Caenorhabditis elegans: one gene and its partners. The protein of the gene in region 2 purifies or fractionates together with the protein of the main gene of each other region. This does not show direct contact. Each region holds a gene or a part of one and is shown on either strand. Other genes may lie near its edges.

The links.
Region 1: the proteins of Y57G11B.5 (region 2) and F57C7.4 fractionate together in Caenorhabditis elegans (co-fractionation; one large-scale study listed by BioGRID). This does not show direct contact.
Region 3: the proteins of Y57G11B.5 (region 2) and R10E8.6 fractionate together in Caenorhabditis elegans (co-fractionation; one large-scale study listed by BioGRID). This does not show direct contact.

Annotation. Positions count from the first base shown.
Region 1 is NC_003284.9:10,584,826-10,592,474, reverse strand, and holds the start of F57C7.4 (PKD/REJ-like domain-containing protein), read left to right. Parts: upstream 1-2,909; 5' UTR 2,910-2,936; coding exon 2,937-3,206; intron 3,207-3,267; coding exon 3,268-3,432; intron 3,433-4,566; coding exon 4,567-4,731; intron 4,732-4,777; coding exon 4,778-4,839; intron 4,840-4,884; coding exon 4,885-5,042; intron 5,043-5,089; coding exon 5,090-5,223; intron 5,224-5,272; coding exon 5,273-5,402; intron 5,403-5,448; coding exon 5,449-5,516; intron 5,517-5,558; coding exon 5,559-5,679; intron 5,680-5,725; coding exon 5,726-5,823; intron 5,824-5,868; coding exon 5,869-6,024; intron 6,025-6,256; coding exon 6,257-6,404; intron 6,405-6,448; coding exon 6,449-6,683; intron 6,684-6,724; coding exon 6,725-6,907; intron 6,908-6,948; coding exon 6,949-7,081; intron 7,082-7,132; coding exon 7,133-7,331; intron 7,332-7,649. Other genes in the region: sdn-1 (putative syndecan), read left to right, coding at 7-218, 365-483, 1,945-2,120.
Region 2 is NC_003282.8:14,572,402-14,578,934, reverse strand, and holds Y57G11B.5 (DUF19 domain-containing protein), read right to left. Parts: upstream 4,117-6,533; 5' UTR 4,111-4,116; coding exon 3,937-4,110; intron 3,861-3,936; coding exon of another isoform or gene 3,114-3,860; intron 3,034-3,113; coding exon 2,830-3,033; intron 2,695-2,829; coding exon 2,395-2,694; 3' UTR 2,355-2,394; downstream 1-2,354. Other genes in the region: Y57G11B.8 (CPXV012 protein), read left to right, coding at 235-360, 512-673; Y57G11B.3 (F-box domain-containing protein), read left to right, coding at 4,596-4,715, 4,811-5,023, 5,119-5,388; glb-34 (Globin domain-containing protein), read left to right, coding at 6,302-6,317, 6,468-6,527.
Region 3 is NC_003283.11:18,258,652-18,269,108, reverse strand, and holds R10E8.6 (DUF38 domain-containing protein), read left to right. Parts: upstream 1-2,717; 5' UTR 2,718-2,744; coding exon 2,745-2,800; intron 2,801-3,092; coding exon 3,093-3,795; intron 3,796-3,849; coding exon 3,850-4,118; intron 4,119-4,943; coding exon 4,944-5,622; intron 5,623-5,664; coding exon 5,665-5,936; intron 5,937-6,141; coding exon 6,142-6,826; intron 6,827-6,877; coding exon 6,878-7,117; intron 7,118-7,432; coding exon 7,433-7,479; intron 7,480-7,548; coding exon 7,549-8,476; intron 8,477-8,648; coding exon 8,649-8,749; intron 8,750-8,798; coding exon 8,799-9,504; intron 9,505-9,550; coding exon 9,551-9,808; 3' UTR 9,809-9,849; downstream 9,850-10,457. Other genes in the region: fbxa-213 (F-box domain-containing protein), read left to right, coding at 265-605, 650-733, 875-1,565, 1,611-1,817.

The sequences.
Region 1 (7,649 bases), on a different chromosome or scaffold from region 2:
CTTCAGAGCTTCAAGCCTCCTGTTCAGCCCAAGCCTAAGCCAGCGGCAAACGACAAGGAGATCAAGGTCGAGGAGGACGAGGACGATGATGAAGATGAGGATGAAGATGATGAGGATGATGAAGAAGATTTTGCTGATGAGAATATTCATAATGATGAAGATTTCTTCACAACTACTACTACAACAACGTATCGACCTATTGTTGTAGCTACCACCTCGTATGTTTTTCATTTGAACAAAAAACAAAACTATTCTAATGCCCTCCAGGGCCCAGGATTTATGCATCTAGAAATGTATTAATTATCTTGTCAATCAACAAATCCCCGAAAACATCTAGCAGCCAATTTAATTTTCAATTTTCCAGAACGCCAAGGTCAGCAGCCACAAATCCACCTCGACAGCAGCCACCAATGGTCACATCAACCATCTCATCTGGACCATTCTCGCCATTCCATGAGACACTGGCAAATGGCTTCTATGCAGGTATGTGTGAAGCAAAACTCATTTCAATTAATTTTGCATTGGGACCTTTGATCGTCCGGAGTGTAACTATCATTAGTGGGAGCAGATGCAAATGTACATAAATCGCCCGGTCAGTGTGATGGCGTCGGCGAATGATTTGTTGCGAGATGATAAATTGATGTCTTCTCGTCAATCGAAGGCAACACGGTTGCATTCAATATATTCGGCCACTGTATTCCGGGGGAATATGCTGCCTCAAGCCTATCCGTTCCGTCTGTTCCGGATGGGCAAATATACACAAAAATATGAGACTTGCATAAAAGTATGCATACTTTTTGCATTCCGGACACTCATCCCGTCCATTTTTCGCGACCAGTCTATCAATCAATGTGTACAGCTCGAGGATGTGCTAGTTTGTTGTCGAGCTGTTTCTTAATGACAGATGGCGTGGCCTCTTCTTCGTCTTCTTGTGCTTGTGTCACAGAATGGGGACCCCTTCGTATGAATGATGCACCACCACACATACTCTTCTTTCCCCCATGTGTCTAATTATTCCTGGTGGGAAGACGATGAGAGCTCTTCTTTCTTATTGAAAGAAACCAACAAGTATTGGTGAATGACACGCCAGAAATTATATTATTGAAAACGGAGAGATGATGATGATGATGAGGATCAAGATGGGTCCAAATTATATATGAGTGCCACTGAACGAGACACTTCTCAAGTTTTCTATTTTGGCGCAAAAATGTAGGAAGAGATGTTTAGTTTTTTTCTTTCCACAACACTTGCTTTGAACAAACTTTTTTGTGTTTACTGCCTTTTGTGAGGAAGTACAGATGCCTTGAAATGGGTTTTTAAAGAAAACATAGACCCCTTATGACGCGTGTCTCAAAATGTGGGGAAAGACGAATTGTTCAGTAAAGTTGACATCTCTTCTCAAAACTTGCTATGCTTTCTTCTTTTGTGGTTATCAAAATCTGAGCAGCATCCCACATCTAACAAAGGAGCCCCAGCTCTATTCTCTTGAGAAAAAGGGCCTGAGGTTCGGGATGGTGGGACGGAAGCCGCTGAAGAAAGAAGGAAGGCAAGGTCAAGGGTCGCATTTTGTGCATATTTGATTTTATGACACTGAGTGGAGGAAGTGTCTGTGAGGAAAAGGGGAACCTTTTGAATGAAAGGTTTTGAGAGAAGATGACGGTTTTGAAAGGATTTAGTGAGTTGGAAAGGAAAACTAAAATTTTTTTTCACTTAGTTACAAAATTAAACTCTTATTGAAATTATTCACTACCAAGAAAGTTCAATTTAGGACAATGCAATATTTCTTACATGCATCGCATTACTGATATTATATGTTGTCCTTACGGGTTGAGATCATAAAAATATGTTTGGAATAAAGCACAAAGCTTATTTATTTTTTAGTAACGAAAAGATTTAAAGTTGTAGAATTATCTATTTTAATTTGATTTAATTTGATATTTTCAGCTATTGCCGGAGGTGTTCTCGTTGCGGTGATTACAGCCATTCTACTCGTGCTCTTTGTAGTCTTTCGAATCAGGAAAAAAGATGAAGGGTCATACGCATTGGATGAACCCAAGCAAGCAAGACCATATGCCTCGTATGGTTATACCAAAGCATCGACAAAAGAATTTTACGCGTAATCTCTACTGTCATTTGTTCAAAATCTTCTATCACTCAATCACCTTTCAAATCATTTTTATGATTCTGTTCTCAGACTTCATTCCAATCTGCCATACCTTTCAATTTGTTTTTTTCCCACTCCCATTTTTTTCAAACCCTCCCCCCCCCCGCCTTCCTTTCGTAAAGGTCATTACTCTCTGTTCTACTCGTGATAATTTGATAATATAAACTGATCTGACTCCATGGTGCCAAATATTTGAATATAATCTTTTGTAGACCCACTTAGGGGTAGGGATGCATGTATCTTTGACTCAATTTATACTATACTCCCTTGTTACTATAATGTGCTCATATTATCCTATTCTAGAAATTTCCACCTAATTTCCAAAATCCCTCAACACTCTCACGCGGTTTCTCTGGTTTCTGATGGCACTTATCTGCTAGAGTTTTTTGTTTCAAAACTTGCCTCTTGAAATTTGTACTTTTTCTTGTTTTATCCGTTTACCTTTTTCTTTCCAATAACATCTTCTGTAACAATTTGAGATGCTCACATATTTTATGTATTCAAATTTATAAATATAAAAATATTACATTAATGTTCCAAAACAATATAAATAAACAAATAACGAAAGAAAAATGATCATGAGAAATCTCACATGGACAATGAAATAACAAGAAGAAGGAAACGAAGCCTTAAATTGAAAATAACGGGTTTCCATAGAGACAAAATAAAGCTGCGCGTTTTTTCAATCAGAATACGTAAAACTTTTTTGCCTCGTGCACTAATACTTTTCGAGCTTTCTTTTTTGGCTTCGGTTGCCATGTAATTTTTCTGAATGATAGAAGAGCGCCTATTGAAGTATTTGTTATTACTGTTCCTAATTCTTGGATTCTGCGAATGTAAGATTCTCAATCAATGCTATTCATCTGGAACAAGCTGTATTCGGTTTGAAAAAGCTTATTTTGAATTTGTGGACACTGTTCAACTAACCAGCGATAATGTGCCAACTCTAAAAGACAACGCAGGAACAACATCAACTCGTGTTGTGCTCAGTGAGCTTCTAAGTCATTTGGCATTCAATCATAGTTGGACACTTGCCGCATTGGTTAGCTTCCTTTTCGAAAATTCTGAATAATTGACGAACACGCAATTCAATTTGCATTCAGGTGGTCAACGCAGGCACACGCACTGACGTTCAATGGAAAATAGCTCCTGATGAGACAAGTGAGCATCCAATTGAAATAGACGATCCAGATGGATATGACAATCCGTTTCCTAATGCGACAGTTCATTGCGTCGACATTCAAAATTATGCTGATGACGCAAAACGGGTAAGTATTGGTCATGTCTCATTCATCTTCATTTTGAAGGTGTCTCCGAATGGTCTTCTTGTTACCACATAGAACCATATAAAATATATGAGAACAAAAAACGAAAAAAAAACGTATTGAAAGATGGGAATAGGAACCATATGGTTGTAATGTAATGGCGCGTTTCGTGTCGCCGTGTGTGTATGTTCAAAATGCGTCAAAGACCTTGTGAAAGACCAACTGCTCTTGTCTTTTATTTCGATTATGCAAAGGGTGTGAAATTGAAGGTGTATTGGTAGTGAGAAAATTGATTCTGTATTTAAGTGCCTTACACTTGATAGTCGGGGGAGCAACCAATATATTCGACTTTGACATTAAAAAAAACCTTACTGGTGTATCAGAGACCGGCACTTTTAGAAGTAAATTTTTGAATGAAAACGTAAGGATAATTTTTGAATTTTCAGGCTTTGAAAATAACATTACAAAACCTAAATATATCACGTTTAATTTGAATGTAATAATAAACAAAAAATTGAAAATTTTTGAAAATGCAGGGAATCAATACAACAGTGCCAGGAACGTTATAATTAAAAAGTTATGTTATATGGAAAAATGTGAAACACATGTTATATCTGCCACAGGTTTATACATGTTAGGTTTTTTAGGTAAAGTACATGCTTATTGTTATAGTAAAAACATCAACAATAGAATAAACATTATAATAGTTCAAATCAATTATGCACGTGTCGATGCTAATCCATCGGTCACAATACTTATAGTAAACACATTTTTGTGCTGTTTTACACAACAACAATGAAGAAACGATAATAGTTTAGTAAAATTATTTCCATTGGAATAGTGATTACTTTTTCAGAGCCCAATATTTAGATAACTTTTTAAAGCCAAGTTGATGCGTCATATGATAAAGCAGAAATATACAAGAGCGTGTTGTATCAAATATCCTGGATAAATTGAATTTAGAATCTTAGGACTATTATCAATGATGAGTTTAGATCCCCATCAAATTTGCGGATTTATTATAGTAGAAAGTTCCAGTAACAACATTGATCGGTTGAATTATTAAACTACATTTATAAAAAATAATTTTAAATCGTCTTTTAATACCTCAATTCTTTCTAACAGTGGCATTTTCAGTTTTTGGTAGTACCACCCAACTACAATTTCTTTTTTTCTGTTAATGGCTCCGCTTCCATAAACTGTTCAAAAAGTGGGATTTCAATTATTCCGTTTGTTTGGGATGATACCAGTAGGGCAAGTATACGAGGAATGTCCTATTTTTCTTCATCACCTTGCTCTAGTGTGAGATTGACAAAGATCAAATATATTTTTTAATTCTTCAATTTAGGAATGCCTCGTGTTGCCTATCCCAACATTGTTGGTTAGATTCTGCCCAAATGTCAACAACAGGTACAACTAACTTATATTAAAAATTATAACTATTTTTTAATACAGCAATTTGGAAATTCACATTGATAAAGTTGAAGATTTTACTGCCGAGTTGTCTGATGATTTACTTGGTATAAACATTCAAAAGGTTAATGATTCAATTGAATTTCCAATGGGCATTATGAATTGTGAGGTTTTGATGGAAAACTCTTCCATTCTCGGAGGTAACTAGTTTTTCCACCAAATCATTCATAAAGTACATATTATTCAGAAAACCCTATTTGTCTGGGAGATGGGGCAAATGTCGCCATTAAATTTGGTGCCAATCCAAAGATCGGCATACTACAAGAAGTGAAAACAAAATTCTCACCTCGATCAGCATTTCTCAAAAGTCCAAAAAATGCGGTAAATTCTCATTGAAGGGCAAATAAAATTGAAAGGCGCACAGTTGCAGGTGTATCCAAACTTTACAGTTTCCCATGAAAAAGAAGTGGCTACATGTTCTAATTCAACAACGTTCGAAGTAAAACAGATTTCAGGGAACGGCTTCATGCCTTTGAGTTTTCAGTGGACTATTTTGAATGGTTGGATTTTTTTATAATGTAATATCAATCAACTTCATAAATTAAGGTACCTTGGATATGGAAACCATTGCAAAAGCCGCAACAGAAAGACTTCTGGAAATCCCCAGTCATCATGTAAGATATAAAAATAAAACTTGATTTATTTTATTTTTGAAGCTATCAACAAACAATGTGATACTGGTCACCGGGTGTAATGTAGCGGAAAAATGCACTTCAAGTGGACCAATCTATACCGCACTTGTTGATGATGCATCAGTGTTTTCAGTTTCTATTGATGGTACTTGATACTTTTTAAAATGTTGAGTAAACTCAAATTATTCTAGGCGTTGAACAAGAAACCCCTGCTTCATTCGGTCTTCGTCTCCGTGCAAACCCTACTTTTAAGCAATGCAGCTCCAAAACGTCCCCAAAAGATGTTCAGGTGTTTCAATACATAAGCTTTAAAAAATGACATTATTTTTTTCAGTACGAGTGGAAATTGAATGGGGAAGGCAAAATGTATGATGACGGGCTCAAACTACCGGCTTATTCATATTCTGTGAATGAGCTGGTTAATGTTACACTGATAGCAAGATACAGTTACGAAAAACCGTACTCTTCAAGTTCAACAAAGACCATACATGTATGTTGTTAAACTTGCAACTACTGTTGCTAAAAAAAAGTTGCATGACATTTATTGAAAGGCAAAAATAAGGTTCTTCACGAAAATCACTGTAATACAGTTTATTACACCATAAATTGTATTTCGACATTAAAACGTGAATGAGCCCATAACAAAAGTTCAGTTTTCATTTCAAACTTTCCCACTCTTATACGTTTTCTTTTGTAGTAAAATGTTTGTGTCTAATTTTCAGTATTTTGGCTTACCACTTCTAGTAAATTTGGATTGTGCTGAACGTCAGATTGGGAAAGATCACGACCTCACAATACGAGTATTGGCGGTAGATCAAAATCGAAAGGACTCTAGTCTTAAATACCAATGGACCTGTGAACTCATTGATGGTAACTTTCATTTACTTAAACTTTTATTTAATTATATTTTTCAGAAAAAAATGACACGCAAAGCTGCAATCTTGGAGCGATTGACACGTTTCAGGATTTTTTGAAGATCCCTACTAACAAATTAATCGAAAATACTATTATGAATGTGACAGCAACCGTTTCATCTGAGGAACAATCTGACAGCTCTTCATGTATCGTCACAATTGCAGCAACTCAAATTCCAACAGTTACATTTTATAGACTCGCAGAGAAAAAACAAAATGCTTTTGATTATATCAGGTAGAAATATTATTGAAAGTTTATACTAGTCTTTTTTTTAGAATCCAAGCATTAGTAAGTTCGTCATTGCCAACCTTGAATATCACATGGGAAGTTGTTCGAGATCCTCAGTTTGGTTATTTCAATATTTCATCGTTTATATCTAACCCTACTACAATTATAAAAAATGTTCCATCAAAATCTGACGTATTTGTATCATTCACAATTCCACCTGCAGGAACACAGTAAGAGTACTAAAGGAAATATCACACTATCAGATTTTTAGACTTGCCATGTGGCCAGGATTGATGAGTGGTAAAACCTTTGTGATCCGGCTTTGGGCGTCTAATGAAAAAGGATCTTCGTTTTCGGATTTGCACTTGTCTACGAATGCGCCACCAACCAAAGGAAATATTGATGTGAAAAAAGAGAATCGCTGTTTCTAGTCAATTGTTGTTTTTTTTTTTCAGATATCTGTACCGTTTTATCCACCGTTTGCTCTTGAAACTCCAGTTACATTTTCTGTTGGTGATGGTTGGAATGATGATAAAGACGACTTGCCTTTGACATATCAGTTTGGTTATAGAATTCATTACGACAATAATGAAACATATGAATATCAAGGATCAAAGAGCACGGTCAAATACATTCAATTCTTTCTGCCATCGAGTAAGTTGCACATTTGATCATCATTCTTCTAAATGTACTGGTAGGTGTGCGGCGATAGACAATTTTCGGTAGCCAACAATTCAAATATTAGTTGGTTATTAAAATTTTCGACAATTTTTAAGCCTACATATATTTCAAAAATTAAAGTCAAATAAATCGTCATTTAAGTATTCTAGCAGTCATCTTTGTACAAAACCCCCTAAAACTTGTTCGTAAAATTTTGAAAATAAAAAAGGTTTTTGTAACAAAATACATGTACACCTCTCAAAATCTATAAAAATTTTTGAATATTTATATTTTCGGCATTTCTCATGCAAA
Region 2 (6,533 bases):
AAATCGAATATTGAATATGGAAAATCGAATGACTTCATTTGAACTGATAGCGGAGATACGGAAAATGTACAGAGTTTTCGTTTGACAACTGAAACAGCAATAATTGTTTAAAAAAATATACATTTTTCATTTAAAGAAACCGTTTTCTATGAGAACTGAGTCAGATGTTATATTGAACCTGAAAACGTGACATCAATATATAAGCCCTACTTGAAACAGAAAAAATTAGTTTTCATGATTTTCTACGCTTTTCTCCTGTTGCCATTGGTCTCCGGACAATGGGGGGTACCCCATCGCCAATTGTTTGTTACAAAAGATCAATGTATAGTCGAATACAAATCGATAATGGATTGTGTTAGGGTAAGAAATTTTTTCAAAACTTTCCAAAGCGCCCGACATTTAGCGGGTTCCGTCTCTCACCATAGAACTACAAGTTACTTTGCAAACCCGGTAAATGTCCGGGGCTTCTAAACAAAGGAATTGAACTCATTTTTAATGTGGTGCTTTTCAGACCTATAATGTGTACAGCTATGTCGATGATAGTCCGCTGCTTCGAAAATCAGAAAACCTTGATCTAATCGATGACTCAATGTCCTGGATTGTTCTGGATTTCTATTGTGCAATAGTTCCAGAATTCGTCAAGCATATTTGTCCAATCAACGTTGGATTCTAGAAACCTATATTGGGAAGCTGTGGCCATGTCTTGGAGATAACGTTTTCCATATGATGGTCCAATCTTGTCTTGAAGAACTGCAATACTTTGATGCGGTTGAATGTGTGGTAAATCCTGCCGAATATCCATGTTTGATTGAGAAAATGAAGAGTCAACCGACTTGTAAAAACAGTGATGTAAATCTATTCAAACGTTTTATATTTGCATTGCGCACCGGTTGTATGATGGGGGTATCAAGCGAAAATTGAATTCGAAAACTATGGAATTGATATGAGAGCATTACATCCCCTTTCAGACAGTTAAATGAAAACTAGAATTATTTCATTTAAATAAATGTTTTCCTGTCAATGATTTGTTTTTTAAGTATGTTTAAACATTGTGTGAAATGAAAACATGCTCAATAAAAGAAGAACGTTACCATATTTTACTTTAAAACATTCCGGAATGATGATTCGTGGTAAATGGAACATAATATGGCTGATCAGGGGTGTGCGGCAAATCTCGAATTCGGTAAATTTGCCGCACAAAAAAAAAGAAAAAAAATGAGAACAATTGCCAACCGTTTCAAGTTGTTGTTAAATATTTACGTTTAAAAATAAAAACCAATTCTCTGAAATTTGCATCAGTTGAGAACATTTCTGACAAGGTGTGTGTGTGTATTTAGAAAATTTGAATTCCTCGTCAATTTTTGATGTCACCACAAATTTAGTGTGTGGGATCAGGACTACAGACTATGAAGTTCAAAAATTAAAAAAATCAATGAAATTAACATTCCGTGTGAACACTTGACTGAAAAAATGCTCAGACTTTTAATTTGACACTTGGAACAACCAAAATTGTTCTGAACGAATAATTGTTCGACTGAAAGAATTCGTTTTCCAGGAAAAATGAGTCAGATATAAAATACATCGTGATATCATATCAACTCAATTGTTCGCCAGCCTTATATAACAACTCTCTGAAACAGGAGAAATATTATTTAGAACTCATGATTTTCTACGCTCTTCTCCTGTTGCCACTGGTCACCGGCAATGGGGTACCCCTCCACCAATTGTCACTCTCGAGCAATGTCAAGTGGAATACAAATCGATAATGGATTTCTGGATTCTTAAATTGCAATAGTTCCAGAATTTATCAGTCAGTTTTGTTCAATCAACGTTGGATTCTAGACACATATCTTGGAAAGTTGGAACCATGTCTGTTGCATCAATTGACAATTGAGCTCGACAATTATGAAATTGATTCAAATTCCTTTTAATCTGAATACTTTTTACAATAAATGTATACACTGTTTCATGTTGAACATAAAGCCCAATGTATTAGCATTTTTTGTTGGGTTGTTTGCATTTGATTTCAATTTTAGAAACACATTTTCAAAATTTTAACAGCAAAACAAACGTGTTGAAAATAAAATTTTTAGCAGTCAGCAGACACTTTAGCATTCCCCCCCCCCCCCCCCTAATTTCTACGCTCAGAACCTGTACACTGCCGCAAGCGCTTTTCCTCTCTTTCTTCTCAAATTATCTTGTCTCGCCATATGTCGGTCGCTTCACCCCGCTTTAAACAGCGCGTTCGTGGTGTAATGGTCAGCATGGATGCCTTCCAAGCATTCGACGGGGGTTCGATTCCCCCCGAACGCATTTACTTTTTTATTTTCTTTTAATAGAAAGAATAATGAAGTGTTGCTCAAAATCATTTATTAAAACCCAAAAACATCAAAATCACTGTTTCAAATTATCCAAATCTTTTGGATTGAACTTCTTATCAAAAGTATGGATGAACTCCAAGTTTCCTGAATGAACTGCCTCCAAAATTGGTACAAATATATCCACAAGTTCAACTGAAGCCATCATTCCCTTGTAAAACTCTGCTTTCTCCGACTCTTCACATTCTTGATGTTTAGCGAAGCAACTTGTGACTGGTTTCGCGTATTGAAGCACTGTTTTGAAGGTAAAGCCTTGAAGTTGATCCATTGGAACTTCAGAAAGCACACAAGCAGTGTAGAAACGGACCATATCATTCTGGAATTTGAGAAGGGTTTTTTTGCAAAACAATTCTAGTTTGCTTGCCGACACTTTGCGGGTTCCGCCGTTCATCTTAAAATTGGAGACCCGCGAGGTGTCGGATGCTAAGAAACATCAATTAATATAACCTACCTGATTCACACATCCGAATCCTTCTCCGTAGATCTTCTCCCCAGCATATATCACCAATTCACTTGCGTATTTTGTCAACTTCTGCTTGCTGCACACTGGTTCTCCTGCACACTTCAATGCCTTACGGATATCTGCGACTGACTCAAGTACTTCGGATTTTGATGGGAATTTGGTAACATCTTGGAACATTTCGAGACGGGATTTCTGGAAATATAATTTGCAAAATTTTTTTCAGAAAAAAAAATTGAAAAAAAATCTGTTTCAACATGCCCAGAAGTACTTGAACAATTAATTTTCAGCTAGTCCATTTTGATTTTGGCATAAACCCATTGTTTTGTAATTGGTTCCACGATTTCTTATCGTCCCGAACATTTTCAGTAAAAGTTAACAATCACATTGACCCCAACATTCATCCCATCCCCTCTGGTGTTCCCCAGGGAAGTGTATCTGGGCCTTTCCTTTTTCTCATTTTCATAAATTCTCTACTGTTGAGCCTGCCCCCAACCATCTCCTGCTCTGCATTTGCAGATGATCTCAAGGTTTACTCACATTCCCCTCCCCTCATTCAAACAACAATTGATCTCATTACAGCCTGGTCTGAAAATAATAAGCTCCCACTTGCCCACTCAAAGACCTGTCTTCTTCATCTCGGTAAAAAAAACCCTAAAACTGTTTACAAAATCAATAATTTGCCTATATCCCCATCAAATATAGCCCGTGATTTGGGAATCCTTACTGATTCTAAACTTACCTTCAAAACCCACATTAAGAAGATCGTTTCTCTAGCCCTTTTACGTTGCAAGCAATTATTGAAATCATTTAAATCCTTATGTCCTGAATTCTATTGTAATTTATTCAAGACCTGCATTCTCCCCCTCATCGAATACGGTTCTGCCGTATATTCCCCCAAACCCTCTTCTTCCCTATCAACTCTTCTTGAAAAACCACTCCGATGGTACTCTCAAAAAGTACTGCAAAAATATATCCTACTCTTCATATATATAATATTTATTGATTTTTTTTCTTCTCAATAAATGAACATATATATATATATAGTCCGCTAGCCACTAGCCGCCCCCAATATTTTTCAACTAATAAATATCTCACCTCATTAATATCCTTAAAACAAGCGTTGAATCTTCTCGTCTCGGCATTACAAGCTGGTGTACTATCTTCGGCTTGGAAAATTTGGTCGATCCTGTCAATGGCAGTGGTCATAGAAGACATGGGAGCAGCAACGGCGTACGCCAGAAGAGCTGAGAACACCAAAGACTTGAACATTTTTTTGAAATGTGCATTTTACAAGGCTTTTATAGTAGTCAAATGTTGATAAAAGTATATGAATCAATTGAAAACATTATACGAAAGTTTTCGAACGAAAATTGGATTTTGGCAGGAATCAATCAAAAATCGTTTTTTAGTTGATTCATGGAAAATAATCTGAATCAGAAATATAGACAGCTTCAAGATTTTTTTTCGTAGACTTTGCCTGAAGACAGTAAGTTGTTGAAAATAAATATAAAAGCTCAAAAAATGAATTTAAATGATTGGAATAAATTTGTTGCTTTCTGCTTTTTTTGTGTTTCAAAAAAATATTTTTTAAAAACATAAAAACCGAAGATAATTTGCAAAAGACCAAAAAGCGTGTGGGCACGAAAACAAAAAAGTGAATAACGAAAAACGTGAGTTTAAAAACAAATTCCACCACACTTTATTAAACCAGATTTCGAACATCATTCATTTCTCGCAAAAGCGAATTACAAACGATGTTCAATTGTTCCATATCACTGATAATTCTCTTTGCCGTATTGTCCACGGTGGCTGGTGATCGAGGAATTTGTGCCCAAGAAAAGTTGGATTTGGAAAGTTGTGCGCAGCCTCACAAGGTAAGATAGAGCGGCCGACATTGATACTGGTCACTGTCGAGGACAACTCGTAGCTTGTCAGCTGCTAGATTACTCCAACGAATTCTGTTTTCCAGGAATACATCCACTCGCTGTCCGATGTAACTGGCCGTGAGATCCATAATCCGAAGTTTATGAAGAAGTTCGTGGAATTCACCAAAACGGCCTCCTCGTGTATTGGTTCAAATGTCACGTGTGATGCTTCACGTCATTATCGATTTTTCCTGGATTCTCTGACTAATATGGGAAACATTTTGTATCAAGAAAGTAATTTAGATTGTCTCAAGAATGTGAGTTCGCGAGATTGTTTTTGAAAATTTGTTTTAAAACTTTTTTGAAACAGTGAAAAAAAAATTATTTTCGAAATTTGAAATGTTATTTCCAGATTGCTCCAACTTTCCGTTTCTGCTACAGACAAGCACGGATGACATATAATACATTGGTGGATGTTAGCAGAATTGTCAGAAAAATGACAAAATTCACTGATTGTCTTCGAAAGGAGTTAGTAGCCAGGAACGTTTGTACTCGAGATTCTGTGAAGAATATCAACGTGGCAGTGAAGATAATCCGGAATCTTGTTCGTCAATATGAGAAATGGACAAATGGGGAGATGGTTCCGATGGTTTTTAATATTGAAAAATTCAAGGATGATTGATGTGGATTTAGTGATTTGAAATTGATGAATGAAATTTTTTTTTGTGTGATTTTTTACCAGTTTTAGCTTTGCATGGATTCGAAGACTACTGGTGTCAAAAATTATATTTCTATATGAGCAATGTGAAACAGGCTACATAAAAAATGCCTTCAAACTGTGAAATGAAACTCGAAACGCAGCAATTAAAAAAGAACACTACTGCATCCAGTTACACATTAGATAATTCTGAACCAATCAGCGGTAAGCTGGAGGCGTGGCCAACTCCGGGGATTGGTCGGTACAAGTAAATGCTGACCAATCACCAATTTTGGCCACGCCTTTTGCACATAACTGATTGGTCACAGGTTTTTTTGTCGCCCAATTTTTTGTATGATGTTCAAGTTTTTTTTTTAAACTTGCTGGATTTTATCATCACAGGGGACTTTATGTGAGGATGAAATTTCCCTTCGCAAGACATTTTAGGAAGTTTCAACGTTTTTTACAGCGCCCGACATTCTCCGGGTTTAGCTAGTGACCATACAACTCTGTGACAGAATTTGGTGAGCCCACAAAGTGTCGGGCGCTGCGAACATCAAAAACAAAATTTTTTTTGACTAGATTAGTGATAGAAATTAAATAACGTGTGAATCTGAAACATCGCCTGAAATTCTCTGTGACGTAGTGGATCTTTGCCGTTTGATACAGCGATCCCTCTTCCAATACGCACACATCCACCGTCAAGTCTCATATTATCTCATCATCACATTAGTGTGCCTATATGTACATCCGGCACTCAAAAACTCATGATTTTTCGATTTGTATATATGAGAAGTCGTTGAACCATTTATCATCATTTTTGTGGTTTTCTGACTGATATATTTAACCAGGAACAAAAATTTTTCGCCGATATCTTCAGCCTGATCTGAGAGCAGAAATGCCTGCCACATGTCGTAAGTTATTTTTATTATTTTTGAAGCACATTTGTCTGACTTGATTAAATTTTTGCACAAATGCAACAGATTTAAACACTTTGTGAAACAGACTTTTAAAAAAATAATAAAATTTTTTGTTCATTTCAGATAAAATTTAAGAATTTCCAGCTTTCAAAGGAAATCCTCCGTCAGGACCCCAATCTCCCGCAGTTCAATCTCCACTTTTCGGTCGGT
Region 3 (10,457 bases), on a different chromosome or scaffold from region 2:
AATCCCGTTATTTTTTCAAAAAACATGATATTATGTACACTGGAAAACATACTAATGAGTGGAAGAAGATTGGCATCAAGTGATATATCAGTCAGAAAGGACAAGCTGCGTCTCCACTGAGCCTATTGTTACTCGTCTGTTGCTATAACTACGCCACCTTTTCGAAATTATGACAAGATGATCAGTTTCAATGTTGTGCTTGAATATCATGATTTAGCTCTTTTGTAAATTTTTTTTACTGGAAAACTGAATTTTTGCAGAATAATGGAAAAGTCAAATGAATCCGATTTCTTGGCAGCTGGAATTGACCAAGACTCGCAAAATCCAGAACCTGGGCTAAAACAAGAGGCCGTTGAAGCTTCAAATCTATTGGACAAAACACCACAACTCGAGCAGAAGCTTCCGACCCCTGCAGAACGCTTGCTCGCCAGCAAGATTGCCCTTCGTGGCTGCATGCTTTTGGAGTATGCAAAGGGAAACGATGTCTTTGAAGCTTACGAAGCCTTGTCCGAAGTACTTGGAGAGGAGTTTATGAACATCAGAGAGTTCGACTACTTCTTTCATAAGCTTGGAAAGGGGGAATTGGAGCTGGACAGTGGAGAGAAGTTGGTTAATTTTTTGAATATCTCTCTTAATATTGATGCTGCAGGTTTGATCCGAATGCTCTTCAGCTCTCGACCATGCCGGTTGAGATTGTACGGAAGATTTTGATGGAAATTGAGCCGATTGAACGGTGAGCAGCGCACTTTGAGCCCTATGATCTATCCTGCTGAAATTGCGCGTTTAAATTGTAGCAGGCCTACGAACAAGAATTTTCGGCAACAAAATTCTGAACCAAGCTTCAAAAACACGCCAAAACTTGCCCGAATTCTAGATTCCCCTTCCGCCGTGTCTGCAGCGTGTTCCGCAACGCCATCGACTCCCTGGACTGGAACTTCAAGACGATCACTCTTTCCGCGGGATACTTCAACACCATCCTAACGTTATCCCCCACTCATTCAATGATCTACACCTTTCTGAATCGTACAGACTCTATAGTTGGTCTTTATGAAAACGGGCGTCTCGTGGAAAATGGCGGAGCAATGGAAAAATCAAATAACCTGAGCTTGGCCATCATGACGCTGTCGAGTATTCTCAAAAGCCCATTTTTCACACTTGACACTCTGGTTATCACCGAGACTCAGCAAGCCTGGGGTGTACTTTTCGCGGGCTCCGAGAGCATTCCTATCGAGCTGGCAAAAGTGAGTCCATTGTTGGTCACCAGCCTGCAATTCATCGACATTCGCTGTGAGGAAATAGTTTCGATAGTACGATTAACAAAATCTGGTACTCTGAAAGAAGTCTCAATTAGGTTCACCAAACCATATCAGTTCGTACTTCGATCTCGTCCGGATACAGTCCCACTTCAGAATATTGTGGAATTGGAGCAATGGAAACATCTGGAAAAGTTTGATGTGATAGGCGATATCTTTATGAACATCCCTATTGATAGCTTCTTGCACTTGACAAGCTGCATCGTCAGGTTGGTTATACTGACAACAGAGGAGTTGATCAAAATTCGAGATGTAAGCTTAGAACAATCATATTCCAACTACACATATATTTAACAGATTCTCATGGAATCTAGCACATTTGAAGTTGCAGTTCTCAACTTTATGCATTATAATTTAATTGAGATCGGCCAGTTTTTCAATCCAGCCTTTGATATTTCAATTGCACCCCGACCGATTCAATTTGGGGGTTTTCATATTGAGATCATCGCTGTTGGTTCAGACTGTACCGTGGTTATCTATAAACGACGAGAAGATATGAATTGATCTAGGATTTTTTACACTTCTCTCGATTTTTTTCCTTTTTCTCATTAAAAAAACAATTAAGTGTATTTGCTATCAAAGAGTGTTTATTATTAGATGTTCAAAAATTACACCTTTCAATTTTCCTCAATGAAAATAAAATTCTTTGAAAAATATGTTCACGAAGGCCTTATGATTCGATGCATCCTGATTTAAAAAGTTTCTTCAAACATTATGAATTGCGAATCTGGGATTTGATGTAAGCCAACTCATAATTAGAGCTGGGCTGACAGAACTTGAACTTGTGATCGCTAAATGAGCGTAGGCTTTGAATACGTGGAGAGGAGCTTCAATCGCAAATAAGCTAGCAATTTTTGAGCATAATTATTAATAGATTATTTCATAAATTTCATTTGCTTGGTTTTCCATGTTTATGTCCAGGGAAGCTGTAAGTATCGCATTTTAACGCGAGTCATGTGACATATGACTCAATGTGGCGACGAATCGACGACTCACCAATACTTTTTTCTTATTTGTAATACCTCAACAGTCACTCTCAGGTGTGAAAAAACACATTCAATTACAATTTTCTGATATGTAAATTCTTGAGTAGGTTTTTGATTGACCGATTACAAAAAATACGTTTAGAAAGAAATAATGAAAAGTTATACATGTGTATGCATAATTCCTTCTCCATTTTCAATATTTATCCAATTTCAGAAAATTTTCGGCAAGTTTGTCGGCTTTTATATATACTTAAACAAGCGATATAAACTGAATTTTCTAGAATTCAATAGTGCTATACAGCATGTAATTAAAAAAAAACCATTAATGTACATTGGTGCACTTTTAATTGCTATATAGCAGTTTGTTATCGAAGAAATTCTCGCAAAATTTGATAAGGAAAAATTACAAACGTGTGATTGTCACGAGGTATCTCTGCTGAACAAAATGGACAATTTATTTCGAAGACTGTCCCAGTTATTGTTTCGGTTTGAACGGAAAACGTGAGTATTGGCTTGAAATGTGGGAACGTCACATTTTCCTGGGGAAAAATTCCCGCATTTTTTCTAGATCAAATCGCAATGAGACACTCCAACACCACGTGAATAAAGTAAAAAATATATGGAGAAAATTAAAAGAGGCAAACGCGCTCCAATGAGAATTTATTTAGGCACGCATCTAAAACAACTCATAGGGACGCAAATGAAAATCGCGATTTCAAGCGCAAATAGAAAATCAGAGAATTTTTTTAAAAGTTTCTTAATAGATAGCCCCAAAAACCCAGAAAATTTTCAGTCGCGCCCTCGCTCACTCCAAAATTTTAACCTCTACCCTAAAACGCCTGCAAAACTCTACGAGAATCGGAATCCGAATCACAGTTTCAATATGCACAATCCGTTTGACTATCTACACCAGGAGTACCCCTTCCAGGGTCACGATAGTCTATCAAGAGGATGGTTGGATTGTTTCTGACAACAAAAAAGAGTTGATCGATAACTTTGACTACTTTTTTGTCTTCATGAGGCATTTACACTCGATATTTGCATCAAAAATCCCGGTTTCTTATATATCAATACAGTTTATTTGTGATCTGAGAGCAAGGCTGATATCGGAAACGACTGACGAGCACACTGAAATGTTGTTTCTAAAAGAATTGAGTGAAATGATGGAATCCCGAAACCAAAATGTGAAACTGAAAAGGTTCTCGGTGCATTTCCACGGGGTCACCTTAAACAACTCGATTGAGCCGATTCTACAACACGTGGAGGCAAAAGTTCTAGTGTTGAAAGCAAATTGTGATGAGGACATGAAGTACGATTTCAACAAAATTGTTGAAACAAACATTTGGAAATCGGCCAGAGTAGTGGATATCGATTCGTTGTACCTCAGTCACGCTCACAAGTTTTCCTGTCAACCTGTAGAGGAGATCTCACATTTTTCAAGTGTTTCGTGTATTTTCTACTCGATAAACTTTGATGACATGGTTTTCCTGAAAGAGGTCAGTTTATTTTTAGTTCTTAATCAACTTCTGTCTAAAAAGTACAAATTACAGCATTTCCTCGAATCTCCGAACGCACGTGAATTCCTCATTAGCTATCGGAAATTCGATGAGCAACCAATGATCAGTGACATTTACGAGATGGGATTAGACACAATTTTTGGAAAGCCCGTCAATGTGGAGTACAAAGAAGAAGACAAAATTTACAAGTTTAGAGTGATGGATACGGAGCATGATATTTCAATACAGTTGTTTTTACGGAGATCTGGAAATTCGTCGATCATCTTTACGCGAGAACCACCATCGGTGAAGCAGATCTATGAGTGAGATTTCGGGCGTTTTCTGGAATGACGCCAAAATGAGGCTCCAACCAATATCAACCGCCGACATCTCACGAGTTCCGCGCCACGCCCTTAGCGTTTTACCTTCATGGCGTGGTGCGCTGCCATGTTAAACATGTGGGGACACGAAACTCGTGAAATGTCGGCGGCTGATATTGGTTCCCGACTTTGGCTGATTGAAAAAAAAACAAAAAAGGTCTCCGTGTACCTCAGTTATATCTCATAATGTTTGCCCTCTGAAAACTGCGAAAAACTTACAGTGCGTATATTTTCCACTTCTACGACATTAAAGGGGGCGCATTAACGCGCGATGGTCTCGACATGCGCGGCGATTTAATTAAAACTTTTGATGTGTGTGCCTTTAAAAATACTGTATTATGCCTTTGAATTAAAAAAACACATATTCAGTACAAAAAACATTTATTATGCAAAATAATTAGATATTAAACAAATAAAATGCAGAAAGTTGGGAAAGAAACAATTAAAACGGGAAATTGGAAGAAAATGAGAAAAATCGATGAAGATTTCCGAGCAAAATTAATACAGTAATATTAAAGGCGGACACATCAAAAATTTTTAATAAAATTGCCGCGCGTGTCGAGACCATGCGCCTCCCTTTAAAGTCGTAGAAGTTTTGTATGACGACGTTTGCAACTGAGGACATGGTTCATAATACATTAATAATACATTGAATTAGAATAGTTACTGCCCGCACTGTGGTTCGAACAATTTGGATGCTTTAATGGTAGATCTTACGCCGTTTCTGCCATCATCTAAATAACTTCATAATCATAAGTTCCTTTTCAGCCAAACTGTGCACAATTATCACTCACACACGATTGATCTACTAGAAAGAAATGGCCAGGAGACTAATGCCTTACTGGTAATTCGGAATGACTCAATTCTAATTTATTTTACGTATACTGACAAGAATACCGCGGAAAAAAAAGTGGAAAACTTCGAGTACAAGAGTCTAGAAACTGGATGCTCGGCAGTTGTCTCTGAAAGAAGAACTTCATTGACTGTGAATCTAGATCATATGTCTCTTTTTCTGACACATTTGAAGTACCTACTGGATAATTTGACGACTTTTGAATCTTTTTCATTTGGATTTAATGAAGAATCCTGCGATGCAGAGTTTATGAACCGCCTCAACAAAACTATCCCATCAAATTCTCTAAAAGCCGATGGCTGCTGTATATCTTTCAACCGTCACCCTCTGATCACTGATTACATCACCTCAGTGCTCTCGTACTTCCAACCAGGAACCCTTGAAAATATAGCGATCCACACAGCACCTCACACAATTGCTATGGAACTGGAAGATATTGCGGGCTTAGAGCAATGGAAACGAGCAATTTCGGTAGCAATGTGTAACACTACCCTAAAGTTGTCAAGTAAGAGTTGGGAGAATTTCAAGCACTTTTCGTGTGCCACAATTATATCCGAACCGATTTCTTTTGAGGATCTTTCATTTCTGAAAGAGGTGTGTAATAATTGCACAACTGGCAAATATGTAAAATTTCAGCACTTCCTGACTTCAAATACCCCGCGGCAGATTAAGCTTCAATATCTCCGTTCCTCAGAGGACAATATCAACGTTGCTCAAAAACTTCTAGAGCTATTCGGTCCTCCAGCTCACGAAAGCTATGAGAGTGCAAAGCAATGTGATCGAACATGGTGCATAGCAATTTCAAATCAAGATAATTGTTTTCTGGTCAAGCACAAATTCTGTCGTCCTCGGGAGTATGGCACATTCGTGTTCTCAAGAAAATTGGCGGCTGAGATGGAATGGATCAAGTAAGATTTTGATTACCGTATGTTCTTTATTTTTATGGCACCCACACCGTCACCCGTTCCTCAGACCGCCCGCTTTTCCAAGAAAGCAATAATTTCAAGGCCGATGCGCAAAAAAAAACGAACATGGACTGGAACACTCTGTTCGCGATTCTTGCCATACCAATAGGAAACATATTGTAATGGAACAAATTGCATTCTCTTCCAGCTCATCCCCCAGTCGTTCTCAAATACTCTCGGCATTCATCAAGTGCCTTGCAACTTACAAAAACCACTCCCTAGAAGTTCACACTGCAGAGGACCAGGTCCGGATCATGTTCAGCTACTCCTCAGAACTGACTAGCTATCGGAAGAACATCGTGTACAAAAATCACCGTGAAGGGTGTCTGCTCGAGTTTGACGTTCACAAGATAGTAATCGACGAGGATTATGTGACAGTTTCTTGTGAGGACTTGAATATGGTGCTGGAGACGGTGGAGAGTATTGACACTTTGCTAATAGAGTCTGAAGAGATATCCCCGTCAAGATCAGACGATGACCCCAATAACTCGAATGAAACAGTTTTCGGATGCTGCTTAACAAAATTAGTGGAAAATCTTAAGCAGCGAAAGCAAATGCTTCATGTCAGAAACTTCAGGCTAAACTTGAATATGCAATCCCCAAGTGACCAGGTCTACTCTATATTGGAACTACTTTCTCCGGAGGTCGTCGAATTGAAAACTTCCATAGAAGACACAAAATTGGAGTTGTCAGAAATAAATTTCACAAAAACGAAGGAGCTCAAAGCAGAATCATTTTTGTTATCCATCCCCATCAAACTATTGAGCAAATTTTCAAAAGTAGCAGTGACATTACAAGATTTTTCAGTCGAGGATCTGGTTTATTTAAAAGAGGTACTCTTATCTAGATTTTATCTAAGGTCTCACAGCTATTATGTATTTCAGCACCTCCTTGGATCCCCAACGCCGTTCAAGTTTACTATCAACGACAATCGTTCGAAAGAGGAGCATGTTAATGCAAAGAACCTACTTGAAGAATTTGGAACACCTGATCGCATTCAAGATGATCTTATGGAATGGCGTATTCGGATTCCTGGTCCCAAATTTGATCTACTTATTGAATACCGCCCGTGTGTCCCGATGGGTCAATCATTCAGTTTTGAGCGTGTGGTGGAAAGGGTTGAGGTTGGTTGTAAAAGAATGAGCATTAAGTGTTAGTTGGCACTAGGTACGAAATAGATCACAAGTTCAAGGAGAGAAATCCACGAGTTTATAGATGCATCCGCAGTAGTACTACAAGAGCTCGGCAGTAGTACCACAAAATAGAATATCTGATTTCTGAATCAGGGATGCGCGGCTGGTACGGCCAACCGACAAATTTGGGCAAAATTGCAACAATTTCTTCAAAATAATCGAATTTCAAAAACATTTTTACCAGCGCTACCAGCGCGCATTTCTGTTCTGGATCCAAAGTGCATATCTAATTTCAGATATTTTCAGGAACATCAACGTCACGAATTTACCAACCAACCCATTGAATTACCACTGTAAGTATCACATTTCTATAAGTTTCCTTCTGCTCAACAAAATGCAACCAGGTATTTTCAAATTTTCAGCTCATACACTACCCATTCACTGATTCTACCATCAACTTTGAACACCACGAAAGCCTTCAAACTTGCTGAAGTCCGCTTATCTTTATATAGCACCAGTATAACAGTCGGTCTTTACTGTACTCTCCAAGGTCAACGATCTTCACGGATCCATGAGTATCAACACCACCCGAACGGTTGTCGGCTGCAATGTGATCATCAAAGGGAAATGGTTCGGAATCGGGATTTCGTTTCGCTGGCGGTTTCCCATTTAAAAACGATTCTTGAGGGCCAAAACGTCATTTTAGAATTTTCAGTCCATCTATGCGATGACTCTGAGTATATTGATAAAAGGTGTCTTGAAGATCTTGTTGAGATGCTCCGCTCACGACGTCGGCAACTCAAAGTTCGGAACTTCAAGATTAGTTTCTTTGAGCAACCATACATCAAAATCGCAGCATCTCTATTGTCATACTTCGATCATTTCTCATTGGTTAGAATAACACTCAACACGCCATTGCACGGTACAGTAATCGAAACAGAGGACTGTGACCTACTTGTGAGCCTGGATCAATGGCACTGTGCCAGTGAGCTCCTCATTTCGTCGTTTGTATTTTCAACTGCATTGGAAAATTTCGAGAATTTTTCACTTGCAAGTGTTACGGTGCCAACGATTTCTTTTGAGCAATTGGCTTTGTTGAAGGAGAATCTTACGTATTCAACTACTAAGTTCTGTCTGGTTATCAACTTTCACGGTTATGAAGATGAAGATTCAAATGATGTGGAAGCACGGCGACCACAAGAAATTTTCGGAGAACCAAACGTGGAATACGGAAGTGAGGAGTTTGGGCATAAAAACTGGCATCTTCCTATGGATGACAGAGAATATAGATTGGCGATCAGATATCAGCATTGTGGAGCCGAAGGGATTCCTGCGTATGTTTTTACAAGAGTGAGTTACTGAATGGCTGTTTAATGACTGACTGATCGTGTCTCCGAAGCCTAAGCCTAGGCCTAAGTCATAGCCTAATAGTTAGCCTAATTTTTTGGTGAAACTCCCAAAGTGTCGGCCGCTAGACTTCCAAAACAAAGAAAAGCAAGCACACTGACTTAAAATTTTCCAGGAAAAACAGGAAGACGCCCCTCCATTTGACATGCTGCGGCTCGTCACCTGCTTCCCGATGGTCATGAAGAATATTGTCGACAATTGCGCTTTTGTCTCAGTGTGCGTTAACAATTACTGGGAATAATTTCCAAAATTGTTTTTTTTTCAGCGAAGTCCTCCGCAAAGTTTGCAAAGACCTCCGCTACTTCGTTGATCGGAGCCGGAGCAAGTCAAAATTCCAAACAAATGATATTGCCGTGAGCTTGAATTCTGACGATCTCAAGCTTCGAATCCGCCAGTCAAACGCGCATACACTGTTTGTCTACTACAAGCAACCAATAGGATGTCGGCTTGATATCATCGAGTTAACTCCGGACGGGGCCACACGGAACTACCGGGAGCATCATTTGACAGATGACACCCCGTTGAACTACTTGATGCGAGATCTTCAGTTTGTGTTGAAGGATCAGAAGAATTGCCTGAGAAGTTTTCACTATTGGGTTGCGGGCGAACATGAAGAAGCGCAAGAAAAACTAAAGCGAGTTCTGATTCGGAGCTCCAAGCTTCAAGTGAAATGTTTAATCTTAGCCGGAAGGACTGAGTCGGAAATTTTAGAGCTTCTCGAGTGTTTCGACGCCGGAAAGTTGAAGCTTCTGAGACTAGATTTTGCAAAAATCACTGAAGAGGATGAAGGAACACTAGAGATCGCCCGAATAGCGGAGACGGGTCACTGGAGAACTGCAGAGGAGTTCGTGGTGGCTGAGTGCGTGCTTAACACGGATCCCTTGAACTTTAATCAATTGTTCGGAAATTTCAAGAGCCAAAAAGTTTGCCTGCAAAACTTCACAGTGGACAACTTGCTTTTTATGAAGCAGGTGGGACGTTTATCTTTGACAATTTAACAATTTATTATTTTTCCAGAAATCCCTTTCCACTTCCATAAAACTATTCTTCATTTGCGAAAATTTCGATATGGAGAACTTGTACGAGCTTATTGGACGGCCTCTGCTTGTTACCGAGGATGCGGTCAAAGTTCGGAAGTGGTTCTTCAAGTTAATAGGCACATTAGAGCACGTTTTGCTATTGAGAATTAACACGGAAAACGGGAAGATTCATGTTCAGATGTTTCGTATCCCAGTTTCATATGTTCCCCAAAACGCAACCATTCGTGACGATTGAGATTAAATCAGTTTAAATGAATATATTGCAATTAAAAGATATATTCTTCGTCTATTCTATTAGGGGGCAGATAGCTCAGTCGGTAGTGGTGGCCGCTAGCAATCTGGAGGTCACGAGTTCAAGTCCGGCCTCACCCCACTAGGTTCACCCAGCCTCTATTGGGAAGTGGAGCAATCCACGACTGGATTATCGACCGCAGTCCCCGGCTAGGACGTGGCTTAAATGGGATCACCACCAGGCAGTGTACCTGAATCCCAGATCCGCAGTGCATAGCACTTGAAGAACGGATCGTCCTTTAATCCTTTTAATTTTTTAAATTCTTCGTCAATTATAATTGGAAAAATGTTCAAAAAAATTTAAATAAACTCATAATTAATTTGAAATGAAGCTATAAGGGAAGAAAGCAGCATCAGAAAAAAGCATTCATTTCCAATTTGGCCGATACCCTATTGAAAACTCTACTTCTCATGGAAGAAAAATTATAATCTAGCTGAAGGTGTTTGTTTTGCTCAGTGTCAAAATAACATAATGATGGTCTGAATAAACTAACAATTTCTTATGTTACACAGATTTTAAAAAGTTCTTTTAAAAAGCTATTCAAATGTGTTTCTTGAAATATTTCGATTCGGGCAAGTACGGAAAAATCCCC